2 linked regions of the Drosophila melanogaster genome follow. The protein of the gene in region 2 interacts with the protein of the main gene of each other region in a pairwise test. Each region holds a gene or a part of one and is shown on either strand. Other genes may lie near its edges. The genes, in order: CG4287 and Tsp42Eg.

Region 1 (7,720 bases), on a different chromosome or scaffold from region 2:
TATCCATGAGACGAGGCAGTCCCAGCGCTCTTCTAGTGCCGGTGGTCCACAATCCCAGACATTTCCCTGGGGGCTTGCCTTGGGTTGGCCTATTGGAAAAGTTGGTTGAGATACTATAGCCCCCGACCCAACACCCACTCAATTATTGGCCTCTGAGCAAAGCGTTCTATTCAGTTACGTTCAGACATGATATAAGACACTAAAGCAAAAAAGAAAACAATTTTATTTAACCTTAACGTTTTAACTGAAAACTAAAAGGAATCCAAACCAAGCCCTAACCAATCCGGTATTCAAATGTATGTAACTACTATATTCTCTTTTATTTGGTTGACACACCGAGTGGCAGCGGTAGAGGGAGTCGTCGGTATTACTTGCCAATTGTTCAGCACACGAAGCATCAGAAATCTGGCAGTCAGTAATTATCAATAAGTACTTATAACATATAGACAGACACACAACTATGAGAGCGGGCCAGACGAGAAACTGGCTAATGCTATATATGCAGATCATATTTCAATATAGTGACTAACAATTGAGTAAACAAACATGCTTCAAAGGGAAATTTTGTTATTTATATTTATAAATAAATTATATATAAATATATATACACACATATATATATACAGATAAATTAATGCATTTGAATTTAATGTGTAAAAATTATTATAATAAAAGTATAGATATAAAATATGTAAAGATACGAGACACCCAAAAAAAAAAAAGTTGAAAGTTTAGTTTAAAAATCCTTGAAATGCTCTTCTTTTAGAAATTTTGAATTCAAAACAAGCGAAATAAAAATGATAGTAACTTATTAGTTGAGAGCAAAGAAGTAACATTCAAACGTATTATTTATCCCTCAATAGTTAATAGCCCAACAACAATATTACAGAATAAATTATCATTGATTGATGCTTAAAAAACACGTTCAAGAATAAATAAATAACAATGCATATAAATACCAATTGTTTAGCTCAATTTAAGGCGCGCCAACAAGTTTTTCTTTTCCGAACGTTTTCAGTTCGAAACAAACTTCTTTTTCGATTTTTTCTAAACAACTATCACCTTGCTGTTCCACTACCAATACACGAACTTCCTTGAACAAAACTAAAAACAAACAAATTGCCAAAACAATAATACACTGATTGGACTTGAAAGATCAAGAAACTTAAAACGCAATTAATAAATTACAAATAACAAATGAAAAGTAAATGCAATTATAAACAATAAGCAGTTCAAAACATTTGAAACAAATATATACACATATATATTTATATATTTCACTAGACAAATTTTTATGCATAAACTAAAAACAAAACAAATTCTATATTATCAATGTTTTTGCTCTAAATGTCTAACTAATTGTTAATAAAACCAAAATAAAATTATTTTCTGCAGACAAACGTTATATGAGAATGAGAATGCTATGAATGTGTAATTATTTGTTAGCAGTCACGAAATATATGGAAAACAGGCAGGCGGATGTTACGGAAAAAGTAAAAGTTATAACATTAAACTGTATATTGTACATTTACTTTTAAAGAAATGAAATGTATTTACACGAAACGGCATGGAATATGACAAACTAAAGAAATTTTAAAATTTATATTTACTTTGTGCGTTTTTAAACATGTTGGCGACACAATGACAAGCAAATTAGTGCATAAACCGAACTAATAAATAACAATAAATATTAAAAATTAAAAATTAACGATAAATAATGTAATAATGTTGACAACATATGTATTTTACAAGGCAGAACAACCCAACCCCTAGATCCAATCCTCACCGAATCCTAAAAGATATATCAAACCTCCAGCATTGACTCTCACACACATTTTTTATTGTCTGCAAAGAGATTATTATTATGAAGCCGTAAAGAAAGCAAAAATTAAATTAATGTTTATGAGCAAAGTTTGTTGAGCAGCATTCCATTAATATACATTGCAAAATTAAGTAAAATATATGTAAATGTACTAATTAAAGTATATCACCCCCGAGACGGAAAACCGAAAAGTATAATTTAGTTGTTTAATGATTGATAAATATTTAGACACCAGAGGATTCCTCGTAGCATCCTCCGGATGCAAAAATTGTCAGCTAGAAACAGAGGCACTCCCTGAAATGCCATAGAACATTTTCCACTCAATTTAAAACCAACGGCAGAACGTGGTGTTTCTCTGACGATAGCACCCTGAAAACTAAGCACAGCAAACGGAAAATAAATTAAACATTTTGTGTAAAGTTCGATGACAGACCGAAGACGACAGCATGAACACGTACGAGTATATACATAATAAATATATATGAGAACAATTTAACGAGATTAAAATCAACTAAAGTAATAAAGGGAAAGTGTATAACTATTAAAACTAACGAAACGCCAAGCTCTTTCATTTCGATTTTCGCATATTGCATTCAATTTATTCACAATAATTTTCGATACATAAATTACAGGATCTAACACTAAACGGATTTAATAAAACATATTTTTGGACAATACACAATGAATTAACAGTGGGGTTAATAAGCATGCGATTGTGCGCCAGTGGCACGCCAATTAATAATTTACAATATTGCAATTGACTAAAATCTGTAAATCTCATAGGTGTCCCCATATTTGCAGGGCAAATACCCTCGGACTCGAAGCGGGGATTGGGATTGGCTTCGCTTTGCTTACGGCTAGTAACACAATTTCAATGATTTTTCGTTGCCCTTACACCTCGGAACACTTTGCTAGACATTAATGTGCTTTTAGTGGCGGGTCACCACCGGGGACTACGTCGATTTGGTTCGGAACGCTCGTATTGGATGCTCTTGAAGCGGCTACTTGCCTCCAGATGCAGCTGCTGCTGTTTCGGTTCCGGATGTCCACGAGTGACAATGTCTTTCCAAATCATGGTCAAAAGTATGAAGATAGCACCCACAATCTTGTTCAGAAACTCGATTAGTTTAAACACTATTGGAGTGGCTGTATGTGTGAAACGACTCAGCTCAAACAGGAATCGCACAGCAAATACGCCTAGGAATCGTAGCGCTAGTGCGGCTCCACCCAAGGCAGAGAAAATTAGTAGACCCAGAAACCGAATGGTGCCCAAAATGTTCCTCTTGTTGACATCGTTGGTCATGAAGTCGTACACGGTTTGTTTGACTCCATCACCCCACTGTTGCAGCACAGCCAAAAAATCATTAAGGCCCAGCTGAATTTGCTCCGCCACTTCATCCGGCTTGGAGGAGGAGTTTTCCCCACCCGCTGTGATCGCCTTAACAGGGCTACTTCTATTAAGAATCAGTGATCTCCTCGGCGTCGCCATCAGCTCTGGCTCCACGGGCCTTATCATCTTCAGTTTGAACTGGACTTCATGGTCCCGGAAGCGAAGGGTCTTGATGCTAAACCAATACTCTCCAAAAGCCAGATCATTCATCTCTGTCCAGATGCAGGTTTCCAGTTGACCAGGATCTGCTTTGTGCTGGTAACTTCCGTAACTCCCATAGGTGATGCCCACCCACATATTGGGCACGAAGCGTTGATAAAACTTTTGTAATTGGCCGGCACTCGAGTGCAGCAGCTTCTCCAACTCTCGCTCACTGCGTTGAAGCACCACCACGTCCCGGTAGCCGGACACCTGCTCCACCAAGCAGCGTTCCATATAATAACCGCGGAAGAGACGAGACTTGTAAAGCTGCTTGGTTAGTGCTTGCATGGCCAGTTCCTCGGGCGGCATATGACGTCCGCTCGCCTGTGGCATCAACGCGCTGTTGTCCATGGCTAGCTGTGTATGAAATCCTTTATTACTGGTCAGCAAATGACCTGCAGCAACCTTACCGATTGATAGTGATTGGACTTTGTTGCAACCACTTTCGCCGCTTAGTCAGCACAGCGCTTTTGTTATTGTTTGACCAAGCAATTTGTGCCAGTCAATTAAGGGTGAAATAGCTGTCAGCTGTTGCTTATTTCTTATTTTTTTTACGACCATGCATAATGCACTTAAATTTTGGCTTAATTAACTTTAAAATTCAGACATTTCAACATAAACCAGGTAGACACAAATTAGGCAAGCAGCTGTTGAGTTCGATAGCCGATAACAATAAGGGTGACCATACCATATACAGTCGATTTGCGAAGTATACAATTTTCAGTGGACTATCGCTAATGTGACGAAAAAAATTATAAAAAACATTTTTGATACTCATTTTTCCCAGTTTTTCCACCCGGCCACGTTGGTTTCCACCCACATCAAGATTTCCTCCCAACAGCGTCTGCTCGAGTGCTTCAGGATGACTTTGGTGGGCCTAGCTGCCCGCAAATTAGCGCAAAAGAAGAGGTTAGTCGCGTTTAAGAAGTACCCCAGCCGGCTTTTTTGTTGTAACCTACGAATTCTGTAACAACAGATCCGCAAAGCAAGCAGCAGACTTTCCCAATGGCATCCGGTGCCAGAAGTGCCTGCAGATCGGACACTGGAGCTATGAGTGCAAGGAGAAGCGCAAATACGTCCACCGGAGCTCGCGTACCAAGCAGCTAAGCAAGCGTATGTCCCAAAAGGAGGCTGACGCACCCAAGAACCAGGTGGAGGAGCACTCGGAAGTGGCTTCCTCGGAAGGAAAGAAGGTCCGTCGAAAGCGGAAAACGAGCAAGAGCTCCTCGTCCTCCTCCAGCTCGTCGGACAGCTCAGACAGCAGCAGCGAATCGGGCTCCTCATCCGAATCAGACTCGAGCAGCTCCAGTTCGGATTCGGACGACGAGGAAGGCAGCTCGTCAGACTCCAGTGGAAGTGGCTCGGACAGCGACAGCAGCGAGGATCAAAAGCAGGGAGCTCCACAAAAAAAGAAAAAACGAGCCGGGAGTTCACCTGAATCTTCTGACGATCAAGAGTAATCAAGAGACCGATTTGTGGTCTGTAGTATGTAGCTTTACTAGTTTAGTTTTCCCACACTTACACCGAAAATGAACATACTTTTGGTACTGTATTGTTTATATTTTAATGCTCCCAACATGTACGTTTTTCTGGTAAAGTTCCAGCCTTAATAACAATTTTAATCCGAGTCGACTTCCTCCTCGAAACGCCTCATTTGGCTTACGAGATCCAGATCTATTTGCTGGCTGTTGACGAGATGGGACTCCATCACAGTTGTGATTGGGGACTGCTCCACCGACAGATCTATGTGGAGGGGATCCCTTCCAGGGGAGCACTGCGTTTTTGGGTTCTGCTGGCCCACCACCTGAGACTTGAGATGCAGCTCCTCTACCTGTGGAACACTGAATTGGGAAAACCGTCATTGAAGCAAGAGATTTGTAGATACCTTTAGTGAATTTAATGCCTCCTGAATGACGGGGAGCACTCGGTCGAGTTTCTTCTGGATAGCAAATAGTTCAGCCTGCTCTTTTTGAAGGACTCGATTTGTTTGCAGCATTTTGAAAACAAATAATAAACTTTAACCTTAGAAAGACCCCTTTTTAATGAAGGCCTTATATGGTATACTTCCAATGGACAAGGAAATAAATGAATTGAATTTAGATTACTTATAAAAACTAAATGATGTTAAAAACATGAAAGTATTTTAAAAGTCACTTGCTTTATGAGGAAATGTAATTAATTATTTAGTAAGTGAAAGCAATGGGTTAAGTATCAGCTATCGATAAGCCAGCTAAAGCAGCACTGTTGCAAAAGCAAAATTTCGATAACAATGGCGGTGAGGCAGGCAGCAATCGAAATCATTCGCGCCTTTCTGAAATTTGCATTTTGTACAGTCTAAACGGGGATTCGCGTAAACTACGCAGAAATATAAACAAACAAAAACTAGTAGACTATAGAATATAAACAGTTTCCTACCAATGGAGACTTGTGAAGTGGAGGGAGAGGCGGAGACGCTGGTGAGACGCTTCTCCGTCAGCTGCGAGCAATTGGAGCTGGAAGCGAGAATTCAGCAAAGCGCTCTGTCCACCTACCATCGCTTGGATGCGGTCAACGGGCTGTCCACCAGCGAGGCAGATGCCCAGGAGTGGCTGTGTTGCGCCGTCTACAGCGAACTGCAGCGCTCGAAGATGCGCGATATTAGGGAGTCCATCAACGAGGCAAACGATTCGGTGGCCAAGAACTGCTGCTGGAACGTGTCACTAACCCGTCTGCTGCGCAGCTTTAAGATGAACGTGTCCCAGTTTCTACGCCGCATGGAGCACTGGAATTGGCTGACCCAAAACGAGAACACTTTCCAGCTGGAGGTTGAGGAACTGCGTTGTCGACTTGGTATTACTTCGACGCTGCTGCGGCATTATAAGCACATCTTTCGGAGCCTGTTCGTTCACCCCGGCAAGGGTGCGGACCCGGGTGCCGCGAATCACTACCAAGCGCTGTATGAGTTCGGTTGGTTGCTCTTCCTGGTCATTCGCAACGAGTTACCCGGTTTTGCGATTACAAACCTGATCAACGGCTGTCAGGTGCTCGTTTGCACAATGGATCTCCTTTTCGTGAACGCCTTAGAGGTGCCCCGATCCGTAGTTATCCGCCGGGAGTTCTCTGGAGTGCCCAAGAATTGGGACACCGAAGACTTCAATCCTATTTTGCTAAATAAATATAGCGTGCTAGAAGCACTGGGAGAACTGATTCCCGAGCTACCAGCGAAGGGAGTGGTGCAAATGAAGAACGCCTTTTTCCACAAAGCCTTAATAATGCTCTATATGGACCATAGTCTAGTTGGAGACGACACCCATATGCGGGAGATCATTAAGGAGGGTATGCTAGATATCAATCTGGAAAACTTAAATCGCAAATACACCAATCAAGTAGCCGACATTAGTGAGATGGACGAGCGTGTGCTGCTCAGCGTCCAGGGGGCGATAGAGACCAAAGGGGACTCTCCTAAAAGCCCACAGCTCGCCTTCCAAACAAGCTCGTCACCTTCGCATAGGAAGCTGTCCACCCATGATCTACCAGCAAGTCTTCCCCTAAGCATTATAAAAGCATTCCCCAAGAAGGAAGACGCAGATAAAATTGTAAATTATTTAGATCAAACTCTGGAAGAAATGAATCGGACCTTTACCATGGCCGTGAAAGATTTTTTGGATGCTGAGTTGTCTGGAAAACGATTCCGCCAGGCCAGAGGCCTTTACTACAAATATTTGCAGAAAATTTTGGGACCGGAGCTGGTTCAAAAACCACAGCTGAAGATTGGTCAGTTAATGAAGCAGCGCAAGCTTACCGCCGCCCTGTTAGCTTGCTGCCTGGAACTGGCACTTCACGTCCACCACAAACTAGTGGAAGGCCTAAGGTTTCCCTTTGTCCTGCACTGCTTTTCACTGGACGCCTACGACTTTCAAAAGATTCTAGAGTTGGTGGTGCGCTACGATCATGGTTTTCTGGGCAGAGAGCTGATCAAGCACCTGGATGTGGTGGAGGAAATGTGCCTGGACTCGTTGATTTTCCGCAAGAGCTCACAGCTGTGGTGGGAGCTAAATCAAAGACTTCCCCGCTACAAGGAAGTCGATGCAGAAACAGAAGACAAGGAGAACTTTTCAACAGGCTCAAGCATCTGCCTTCGAAAGTTCTACGGACTGGCCAACCGGCGGCTGCTCCTTCTGTGTAAGAGTCTTTGCCTCGTGGATTCCTTTCCCCAAATATGGCACCTGGCCGAGCACTCTTTCACCTTAGAGAGTAGCCGTCTGCTCCGCAATCGACACCTGGACCAACTGCTGTTGTGCGCCATACATCTTCATGTTCGGCTCGAG
Region 2 (10,512 bases):
CTCAGCGGCGGAGATCAAAAAGAAAATTCCGAAGGCGATCAGCGCCAGCCCGAGCACCTGTGGAAAACGAGAAAAAAGTTAGGTTGGCATATATAATACTTACTAGTATCGCTCTCAGGTGTGCTACTCACGGAAAACACAAAGTTCAGCAAAAGCAGCACATGCTTCACTGTAGTGGCGCCCAGACCCATGATTACTGTGGATCAATCAACCTGTAGATGCGGCTGGAGACCGACTGTTAAGATGTACGAAGGCAACGCGCAGTAGAGTGCATCAGAGGCCTTACATATAAGGCTATATGGCCAGCAGCCTGTTTCAGATGCGTATCTTTCGGATACAGCGGCGCGCTAAGATCTTTCGACGTCCGACCGCCGTGGTTCAGCTGTGCGAATCAACTGGCAGCGCTGTGAGATGGAAACCGAAACAGTGTGTTTTGTTTTGACTTAAACAACGACCGACTCACCGATCGCTCATTCATTCTATCTATAAATCGGTTAATGAAAATCGAGAGCGAGAATCGCCCACTTGCGCGAGCTTTTCTTGTTTATCGCCGATCCCCACACGTTTAGATTCCTGCTGGCCAACGAAAATCTCTTGTAAAAGTTTAGTTTAGTCAATGGCAACGGGTTTATTTATTTTCGTTTCGAATTATTTCGTGGGCGTGGGTGCCAGTTTACAGTTTTATGAATGAATACTTGGTATCTGTAGCCTAACTTGGTTAATCATCGTAAACTACAATCACAATTCGCCAGGGCCGTATGGCTAGGAAATTACTCACAACAAATAACGATAATACGGTTCGTGCAAATCCCTAAATACTATCTTAATTATAGAATCTTATGCGGTCGCGATGATTGCGAATGCTGTCTACCAGGTAGCAGGTGGTCACCGAGCCAGCGAACTGCAAATACAATAAGTTAATATAATAAACATAAGTATGTAATGATAGAAAGATACGGGCAATTTAAATATTTTGTAAATTACTTTGTTTAGATTGAGAACCAAGCAAAAACCAAAGATGCTAGATGGTAGTTGAGAAACTCTAAAACTGTCTACTTACCTCAAAGATAACAAGGAACCAACTTAGCGAGTGGAAGTTGGCTGTCTTTGCGCCGACATACTCCTTGAACTTGACTTCGCAGCCTGTCATGAAAAGATTCAGATGCTTGGTGCAGTCCCGATTGAGACAACAACTGGGAGGAGGCATCTTCTCCAAGTGCAGGTAGTCCTCGGCACTGTTGCGGCCACAGCAGTGAAGCTATTGAGTTGTAAGTTTAGCTATGATCTGAAAGTGTTTAATTAAAAGGACGGCAAGCTTACCCACTCCTCGTAGGTGTTCAGTGTGCTGTTGCCCTCGTGTTGCAAGTCCCACAGGTCGTCAAGTCCCTGCCTCAAAGAATCCGGTAGGAAATCTCGGCTGGCGGCATAGCTTATGCTGACCAATACAATCTGAACGATCAGGAGAAACACCAACAAAACGGCGTACTATATAAGAAAGTTATAGGAAAGGTGAGTTATACAGGTGAGTCATAGAATCAACGTCGAGTACTTACGCAGATCAACAGCACCCTGGAGTCCTTGGCCACAGCCACCGATCCGAAAATGCTGGCCACCACGATGACGGTGCCCAGCAGGACGCAGAGAACGGCGGCCAGGTCCTCACCGTGATCCATTCCCAGCATCCGCTGCTCCTCAGAGAGGCTATCCAGCAGCCAGGCGCCGTACCAGATGAGCAGGCAGCCACCTAGCTAAACAAAGGCCACAATCCCTTTCAATGTCAGCCGATCGGGTCTATTTCGGGCACTTACGGCACAGATGCCACTGATGACACACAGAACGTATCTGAGCAGTCGGGTGGTGCAGTACATGGCGCAGCTAGCTTTCGATTTTCACAATTTTCATGCGAGTTTTTCCGTCGGCGTTCCAAGGCGCACACCTTGAGCAGTGCCATCAAAATATAGACTAAAGTCGCATAATCTCCATTTGTTTGCCTGGGGCGACTCGCAGAGCTGTCGCCGGCAACCGATTAACCCACAGATTCGTTGGCTGCTTCGGATTCTGTCGCCATCCCGTCCGGTCCGGCCCGATCCGATCCGACCCGTTGGCCAGATGCAGTGGCCAAATAAATGCCAGGGGGAAATCAAAGGCGAGCACGGTCCGCAGCGAATAATACCAATGAAAACAACCGACCGCCCACGCGCTCTACAAAAATGAGCCAGCATGTGGCCACCCTCACCTTTTGGCCGCCACTCCCCTCACCTCATTATCATAGGAATGATGTCAACCGATCTTTAGATCTTCAGATCTTCTGGATCTTCGGCCAGATTCTTTATTTGACTTGTCTCCTCGAAATGCTGTTACAGAAAATTTGTGGCTTAGGTCGAGCTTAGTGTAGATTAAGTTACATTCTAAGCGGAATATAGAATCCGCTTCAACATTGCAGTTATCCAAAGTGATAAATAGAATACAAACAACGCACTGCTTTCGGTTTGCTTGGCTTAAGTAAATTTGTTTTGGAATCTCTATCGAGTTTCGGCTTAAGTATTTGTATGGAGAGTTCTTTGGCCTTAAGTATGCGCAGCTTAAACTTGAATTTTCGAAATGCATTTCAATGTATTTCAAAATGGTATGTGAACCTATTTCTGATAGTACTTCGAGCGTCGCCAGCGGTTCACGATGCTATTGGCCAGGACATAGGCCAACAGGGCGCAAATCAGCTGTGAAGGAATAATTGGTTTTCATTATTGAACATCATCTAACTCTCAATAACTCTCTACCCACCTCCACACCCAATAGCACCAGGGAAACCAGATTAAATGTCGTCCAACGATCGGCGATAAAGTCCAGGAACTTTTGCCGGCATCCTTCAAGATTCAGTTTGTCACTCTCGCCGTTGTAGCAACTATTCGGGGGCAGAATGTAGTCCGAGGGCCCCACATTGCCGCAGCAATCCAACTAAAATAAATGGCATGAAAGGGTCTTATTGGGCACCCCCACCTTTTATAGATCTCGTCTCAACTTACCCATCGCTCGAGGCTGGCAATCTGACTCTGGTTGCCAGGCTTGATTGGCACCGGCTGGTCATTCCACAGTTTATCGAACGTTTTGTCCACGTTAATCAGCAGCGAGGTTTGGAAAACCCACAGGAACCCAACTGCTAGAACTTCCAGTATGACCAAGACAATCAGAATAACAACGAACTGGGCAGGCGACAGAGAAATATAATTATAATTTAAATTCAGATTAGTATGTTTTATAAGACCACTTTTTTTAGTGAATTCAATAAATCTAGAGAAATCTCAAATATATAGAACCAATACATTGGTTTCTAAAAAAGCTTTGGTACCTACAATTTTTTAAGTTCTGGGAACCAAGAAATTTTAATTTCGGTCCATAATTTTATGAATTATTTGGATTTGTTGAGCTTTACGGGCATAACATACAGTATAGAGTATACTTTTACAGTGCGAAGAGTATACTATATTCGTTGAAAAGTATGTAAGAGTTTGGAGAAAGTGTTTCCGACGCTATAGAGGATATATATATACTTGATAAGGTTCCGCCTAAGCCGCCTAAATGTATGGTTTATTGTACTTAATGTACTTCTTACTTACCACCTTAGATGTGGCACTGCTCTCCCGCGCTGCTCCCAGAGCCCCGAAAAGGGCGGTCAGAACGACGACCACGCCCACCGCGATGATGACGAAGGCGGCCGTGTTGAAGTGCTCGAATTTGTAGATGATGTGCACACCAAGGCCGATAACAACCAGGCCGAACAGCTGTCGAAATGGGGAGAAGTGGATGATTGAAAAGTTAAATAATTCAGCTTTGTCCGAGAGGTGATAAAACCGTATCGCCTGAAGGTTTTCGCGTTGAGTCAGTATGCAAATGAGGTTTCTCTCTACCGAGAATCAATGGAAACAATCCAGGCGTTCGGCTGTGTGATTAAATCTTAGTTCTTACAAAGATCGCCGCACAGCGATGTTTACTCATTCTCGCCGAACTAATGCCATCATAGAGCTATATTACGTATACGCAGAGTTGTCTCTAGAAAACTGCCTCTCACTTTTCGAGTGCATTGCGGTTGCATTTTAAAATTACCGCCATGACTCACTAGATCCACAAGCACAACGCTACATTTCGCACTCTCCTGCCAAATGTAGGCTCTTCGTAATTTGGCAGCTTGCCCAGAGAAGCGAAAAGAATTCAAAATCCAATCCCAATACCGAAAGTAAGTTTTCGAAATGCGTAGTAATTACAAGGCGATGATGTTTGCACACGGCAACCTGTTGACGCCAGCAATTTGTAAATTATTTTTACAATTGTCGTTGGCAAACAAGAAAACCAGTCGGCAAATACGTTGGCTTTGACGAGCCACGTTTGTTTGTCACCCCAACTCAATGGGCCCGGCTTAGAAAACGCTTACGAATCAGCCCAAAGCCTACGAGGTGATTATGAGTGATTTCGACGATTAATAACGGCAGCCATGACTGATTTCGAGTGTAATTCCCGGTCAGAAACGTTTTGGTAACCCTAAACTGGGCGTAACGCTTTATTTTAGGCTCTGGATAGTAGGCAGTTAAATAAATATTCACTTAAGGCTGAATTTAATGAGCTTTGTTGCCCAATAAGGCAGCGGGTAAATATCATTTACATTAATAGAGTTACAATCGACACTGGCCCATCAATTAATGCTTATGAGACAATGGGATGAGCTGTAGTTCAGCAGACACGTCGACTGAGGAGACATCTGGCACTGTTTTGTGGATGAGCGAGTGTGTATTGCGCGCCATTTAATTGTAATTTATTATTCCCCGGCGCCCAAAATCCCGCAAAGTCCAAATAGGCGCTGACACGGAAAACCGAAAACACAAAGGCACGTTCTTGAAAGCCCGAAAATCGAAAACAAACAAATTGTATTAGTTGAGGAAATGCGAGCCAAGCATGCCACAATCTGAATTCACTTAGGACCATCGACCCATAGTTAGACTTTGTGATTGAGTACCGCGCTATGCGACTTAATTCGAAGCAGAACCTTATGATCGCCATTTGCACAGGGAACAAGCCCGCCCACTCAACCGGTGATATCGAAAGCGGACTATTACGCCCGTCGAGATTGTTTAACGGGCCAAGAAGACACTCAGGTGATGTCTAATAAACGCGATAAGATCGCCATGTGTTGGCAACAGAGAAACAGCAACGTTTTATTAATTTGCTCCCATTTCCCCACGCAGACAAGCAATTAAACGCAATTATCACCAGACTAACCAAGGTCGGACTTCGGCAGAGCAGTGCGGACAACTAATTTGCATATCCGTTGATAAGGGGGACAGTAGTCCGCTGAGTAGGCAGATCAAATGCCATTGCCAGAGCTCGGAATCAATGTTCAAAAACGTACAGGGGACCAGATTTATGTGGGTTTGCTGTCGGCATGGGAGCACTAAAGGCTGAGACACAAAGGTTAAGCCCTACCCTAAAACATAATGAAGTAATTTCAGTTTCAGCCTGGGCTCCAGCATAATTGAAATCTCTCAACGCGCAATTCAAGAGTTAACTCGCCTGGAACCAAATGCGGAAAATCGCGCATACGCCGTGTGGTGCGCGCTGGCATTTCCTCGGCCTTCAGTCGCATTCCAATGGAATCAAACGCCAGAAAGATGCCCAAAACGTCTAGGAAATGACATCAACAGATATGTATATGTACACACGGCCCAAGCCAAAATCTGGTTCAAGTAAATCCAACTAAAATAACAGCGAATATCTAATAAAAATTCTGTAGATTTTGTTCAGGGTTAAGTGATGGCGTGGGTGACCAAGTTTCGACTTGGCAGACATAAAATGTTGAAAGCCAAATAAAAAGCTCAATAGAAAATAAACAAAATACAAGCAAATATCTAAATATTATATCATTTTTAAAGATATTTTTGTGCGGGTGAAATTCGCTAGAACATGGTGCCTTTTAGAAGAGTTTTTCCCTATCTGGCTGATGTAAAAGTATTTGCCTCAACATTCAAGTGAATTTGAAAATGAAACACAAAAACAAACAAAAATAGCAAAACAATATTTATGCTTAAGGAGGCGCTCCAATGTTTGAATTCTGTGCAATGAAATAAACAAATGTCACGTCAAAGGCTGATGGATTTGTGAATGAACTTGGGCGAAGCTGGAGAACGTTTCTTGGGCAAGAACTGGCATTTGGCCAAAGTTAAGTTGTTTTCCTGCAATTAGCCTTGGCTAGAGCTTCAGCTTAATTACTGTCGTCGTGCTGTTTGGGGTCACCAGAGTTGCGCGACAGAAATACCTGCCCCTTAACGCTTAAAACATGTAATGCTTAATCTTTATGGATGCTTATAGTATATAATACTCACAGCGAGGATAATATCCCAAAAGAGGGCAAAGCCCTTCAAAACGTTTGTGGAGCAGGCCATCTTGCCAATCCAATTTTCGGAAACTATATATCTATTGTTTCTTTGCAGGAGGTTACGCGTATTATTTATAACACTTGGCAACTCGCGGCTTGTTGACAATCGGAAAATATTTATTTCGGATCTAACGGTTGCTGGGGTTACCCAAAACCGGGCTCATGCTCACCGCTCGACTGTTAACTGAAAACTGAAAACTTTTCCAAACGTTCCGACTTTGTTGATAGCGCGAAAAGCATTTGGCGAACAAACGGCGGAAATCGGAACGAAAGCTTCGGCACAACGTGTGGAATCGAAACATTTGGCCGCAAGAGCGCAATGATTTTGTGCTCAACTAGATATTTACTTATATATGTTCGTTAGCGTGTACACAGAAAACAGAAATAGATGACGATCTATTTGAATAAAATGGAAGACGCGGTGGCCCATGCTAGTTATACCCCTTACTCGAAAAAATAGGGTATGTTGTGCACGTGAGCAAGGAACAAACATTTCCTAAAAACACCACGATATCAACATAAGCTGACTTATCTGCTGAAATACAGAACGACGATTGTACTGATCCTTTAATAAAACACTTCATTAAAAATATCATATTTTTTCCAAAAAGTGCAACAGGCTTGGAAAGCTAATATACCCTGATTACTTTGAGGGTGTGTCGCATCTCATAGTAATAGTACTCTGACTGCAGCATTCTCGCTTTTTTTATTTTATTTTTGCCAGTAGAAATATTCGGTTTATAATTAATTTCCATTTGAAACGTTCATCGTGTGTATTTATTTTTTGGATACCAAAGCTTTTCTATGTGTGAGCAACATAACCGGCAGTTTTATTTTTAAATATAATATCGTTTGTATAATTTATACAAGCAAACCACAAATGTGCCCCACAATGTGTGCCCCAATACGTTACTAATCAGGTGTGTGCAACTATATGGATAACTAATTAGGTTAGAATAGTAACGAAACACGACCCAAACACGCTAAATATAATGTGTTTTTCAATAATAACAGAATGAAGTAGGTGCTTGACTTTGGTTCGATAAATTTATTTAAAAGTATGTTGAAATAAATAAAACTAAATCTATTTTACTTTTCTTAATCTTAGTTGTGAGTTGCCCTCTGTATTTCACTGAAATCAACGTGTGAAAAGGGATCATTTCAGTGCACTGTGCTGATTAAATGAGTTTCAATTTCGAAAATATAACAGCAATACCCCAGTCTTGAATAACGCTCAAGACCTGCCAAGCCAATTAATTAATAGTGTAATATTCTTCAGAAATTTAACAAGTCGACTGCCAATCCCAGTTGAGTATTTTCAGGTTTCACTGTCTAAAAGTAAGAACGTCGAGCATCGTTGCGAATGCTGTTGCACAGGCGGCAAGAGATGACACTCAGCAGGAGCTGCAAGAGATGGGGACATTTTAAAAACAGCGCTCAGTCGTTCGCTTTTGGGACACCCACCTCGAAGCCAATGAGTACGAGGGCCAGGATGTTAAAAATCTTGGTCAAGTGTTGCCAGTAGTTCTCGAACTCCACCCGACAGCCGGTGTGGATCAGGTTCTCCGGCTTGCTCTTGTCGTGGTTTCGGAAACATGTCTCCGGCGGCAGTCGTTCGTTGACGATGTAATCCTGGGGACTTCCACGACCGCAGCACTGGAACTACGGGTATATGGGTGATTATCAGTGTTTATGACTCTAACTAGAGCCCTGCTGTCAACTCACCCAGTTCTGGTACAGCGACATGGCACCAGGGCTGTTCAGTTCCTCCTCCCAGGTGGCCTCCAGGGCATTAGCCAGGTTGGAGGCCACCGTCTTCTCCTGGGTGATCAGCAAGTAGACGACGGCGAACTGGGCAATGATGACCAGGCACAGGAAAATAATGAACTGCAAGGAAATAGAACCGTATACCACCATGCTTAACAGTAGACACCCATCCTTGACTTACCGTCACTGTGCAGCACACGTTCTCGCGCCAGGCGGACAGGTATCCCCAAAGGACAACCAGCAGGGCAGCAGCCCCGAGTCCCACGTAGCCGTAGGCCGTCAGCTGACCGATCTCGTTTAGGTTGTAGGACACCGCCACATAGATGCCGAAGGATATCAGCACCAAGGCTAGCAGCTGTGGGATCACAAGTCCAATATTAGTAGGGAATCTTGGGAGCTTCTCGAACGGAATGAGCATTCTGACCTCATTAGAAATACATATATGTTGTTCGTTTAGCTCAAGTAATACAATTACTAGTACCGAAGACCGAAATGAATTGTCTGCCTTAAATTTATCTGATAAGATAAGAATACGTGCGTACATACAACACGATTTAAGTTCAAGTTGAAGACTTTCAAAAAGATTACAATAAATCAAGATTAATTACATGTAAAGGGTAACACTTTATCATAAATTTGATAAGCTTCAACGCTATGAATATATATATATATATATATATTTAATATTAGTTAGATAATTATAAGGGTGGCGCTCGACAGCTTTGATAGCTTTGATAGCTTTGATAAGAGACCGCTGAAATCCCACAATCAAGCCGTCCAAATTCAAATTGGCCGGCAATACACATTCATAGACATGTTGTTATTGTATAGTGTTTGTTATGTTATTCAGCTTATCTTTCCTTGCGAGTGAAACTCACTGAATTGGCAATAGTTACCTTCGTCAGCAACCCATTTAACTAAAGTCCTGGTACTTGTGGCCTAGTGTTCCATTTCTAGTGTTTTGACCTCGCACAAGGCGTTAGTTGGAGAGCCCATTCGGGGGCGTCCTCCAGGCTAGCCCATCTGGCGACAGGGATAGACGCCAAGGAAGTTGGCGGGAACGTGGTGTGGGAAACTAGGGACTGGGAAGTCGAAGAAGGACACCCACAGCAAACAATTCGGACAGGACTGCGCACACAGACAAGGTCACTCGATTACTATTCATATCTGATACGGCGGTATCGCAGCGGATAGCTTGTTTGCTAACGCGCTTGTTTGAGTGGGTTTGAATTATTCAAATTCAGTCTCTGTAGCATTGGGATAAGTTTAAAAGGTGACGTGAGGCGCTCATACAGCGATGATGTTTCGATTCGAAAATGAAAGGCGAGGTGCAAACATCGGTGATTAATTCGCTAGCTGTTTCGATTTAGCTCTGATACGAGTGTGACTGTTTTCCGATTGCAATGGATTCGTCCGAAAGTCATGAGTAAGCCGAGTCCCTGCTGCAAGTCCAGATATCGATTGGAAAATTTCGAATTGATGAGCTGCCAGCGGACGGATAGCCCGATCGTATTATATATGCTGTGACCTCTGGGGCCATCTGGTCCTTCTCACCGCGGCTTGCAATTAAATTGTATAAATAAACCAATAAACTATAATCGGGGAATTGGGTTCGACCATTAGACGGTTTTACTGGTGTGTTTTACACTCCTGCCAACCAAAAATTAACACATGGCGACGGTTCCCATACTAAAATATGCCGTGTATATATGTACGCAGGTACACTTAAAGTTGTGCCATTTGATAAGATGATATATTTCGTGCATTGTTTGGGATCGTTGCGAAACCAACTTAAGTGGTCGTTGTACCGTATTCTTGTTTACAACGCATACAATTGACGTAATCGCTGGAGTGGGCTATCTCGGGTGTGGGCGGGAAACTAGCGAAAGTAACTCACTGTGCAAAGTACGTCCAGGGCGTAAACAATCAGCTTCACACTCGACGTGGACGCCATGGCGGATGATGCTCCTCGGATTCGTTGGGGGTCGAGATGCCTGAAATTCCTGGAGAGCCGCCTGAAGAGAGAGCAAGCTGCGCGAAACTTGTTTTCGTACTCCTCCGCTCTCTTTGAGATCGAATCGGATCAGTGAGATCAGCGATGTTTCTATATCTCTCTATCTCTCTCTGGGCTCCCTGTACGTTATCGATACTTTCTGGAAGATCGTCGCAACTATGTCGAATTTCCTCAATCTAACAGCGTGCAACGTAGCACCACCAATGGTGGGAAATTGTCGGAATCAGCGAGGCACTTTCCCGCAGCGAGTTGAATGACTCATGGGCGAATGACTCGGATCAGGTGCGGTCTGTCCGTCGGCTAGAAATTC

What was found.
Region 1: the proteins of Tsp42Eg (region 2) and CG4287 interact in a two-hybrid assay, tested with the Drosophila melanogaster proteins (one large-scale study listed by BioGRID).

What each region holds. Positions count from the first base shown.
Region 1 is NT_033777.3:15,959,776-15,967,495, forward strand, and holds CG4287 (uncharacterized protein), read right to left. Parts: upstream 4,093-7,720; 5' UTR 3,824-4,092; intron 3,771-3,823; 5' UTR 3,765-3,770; coding exon 2,763-3,764; 3' UTR 2,392-2,762; downstream 1-2,391. Other genes in the region: CG5516 (uncharacterized protein), read left to right, coding at 4,276-4,322, 4,390-4,873; CG32856 (uncharacterized protein), read right to left, coding at 5,032-5,244, 5,299-5,409; Rbf2 (Retinoblastoma-family protein 2), read left to right, coding at 5,831-7,720.
Region 2 is NT_033778.4:7,025,015-7,035,526, reverse strand, and holds Tsp42Eg (tetraspanin 42Eg), read right to left. Parts: upstream 6,617-10,512; 5' UTR 6,429-6,616; coding exon 6,369-6,428; intron 3,780-6,368; coding exon 3,615-3,779; intron 3,201-3,614; coding exon 3,024-3,200; intron 2,956-3,023; coding exon 2,782-2,955; intron 2,718-2,781; coding exon 2,637-2,717; 3' UTR 2,294-2,636; downstream 1-2,293. Other genes in the region: Tsp42Ei (tetraspanin 42Ei), read right to left, coding at 1-57, 132-191; Tsp42Eh (tetraspanin 42Eh), read right to left, coding at 824-901, 1,061-1,258, 1,321-1,485, 1,554-1,748, 1,809-1,868; Tsp42Ef (tetraspanin 42Ef), read right to left, coding at 7,754-7,825, 7,886-8,083, 8,147-8,308, 8,370-8,543, 10,086-10,142.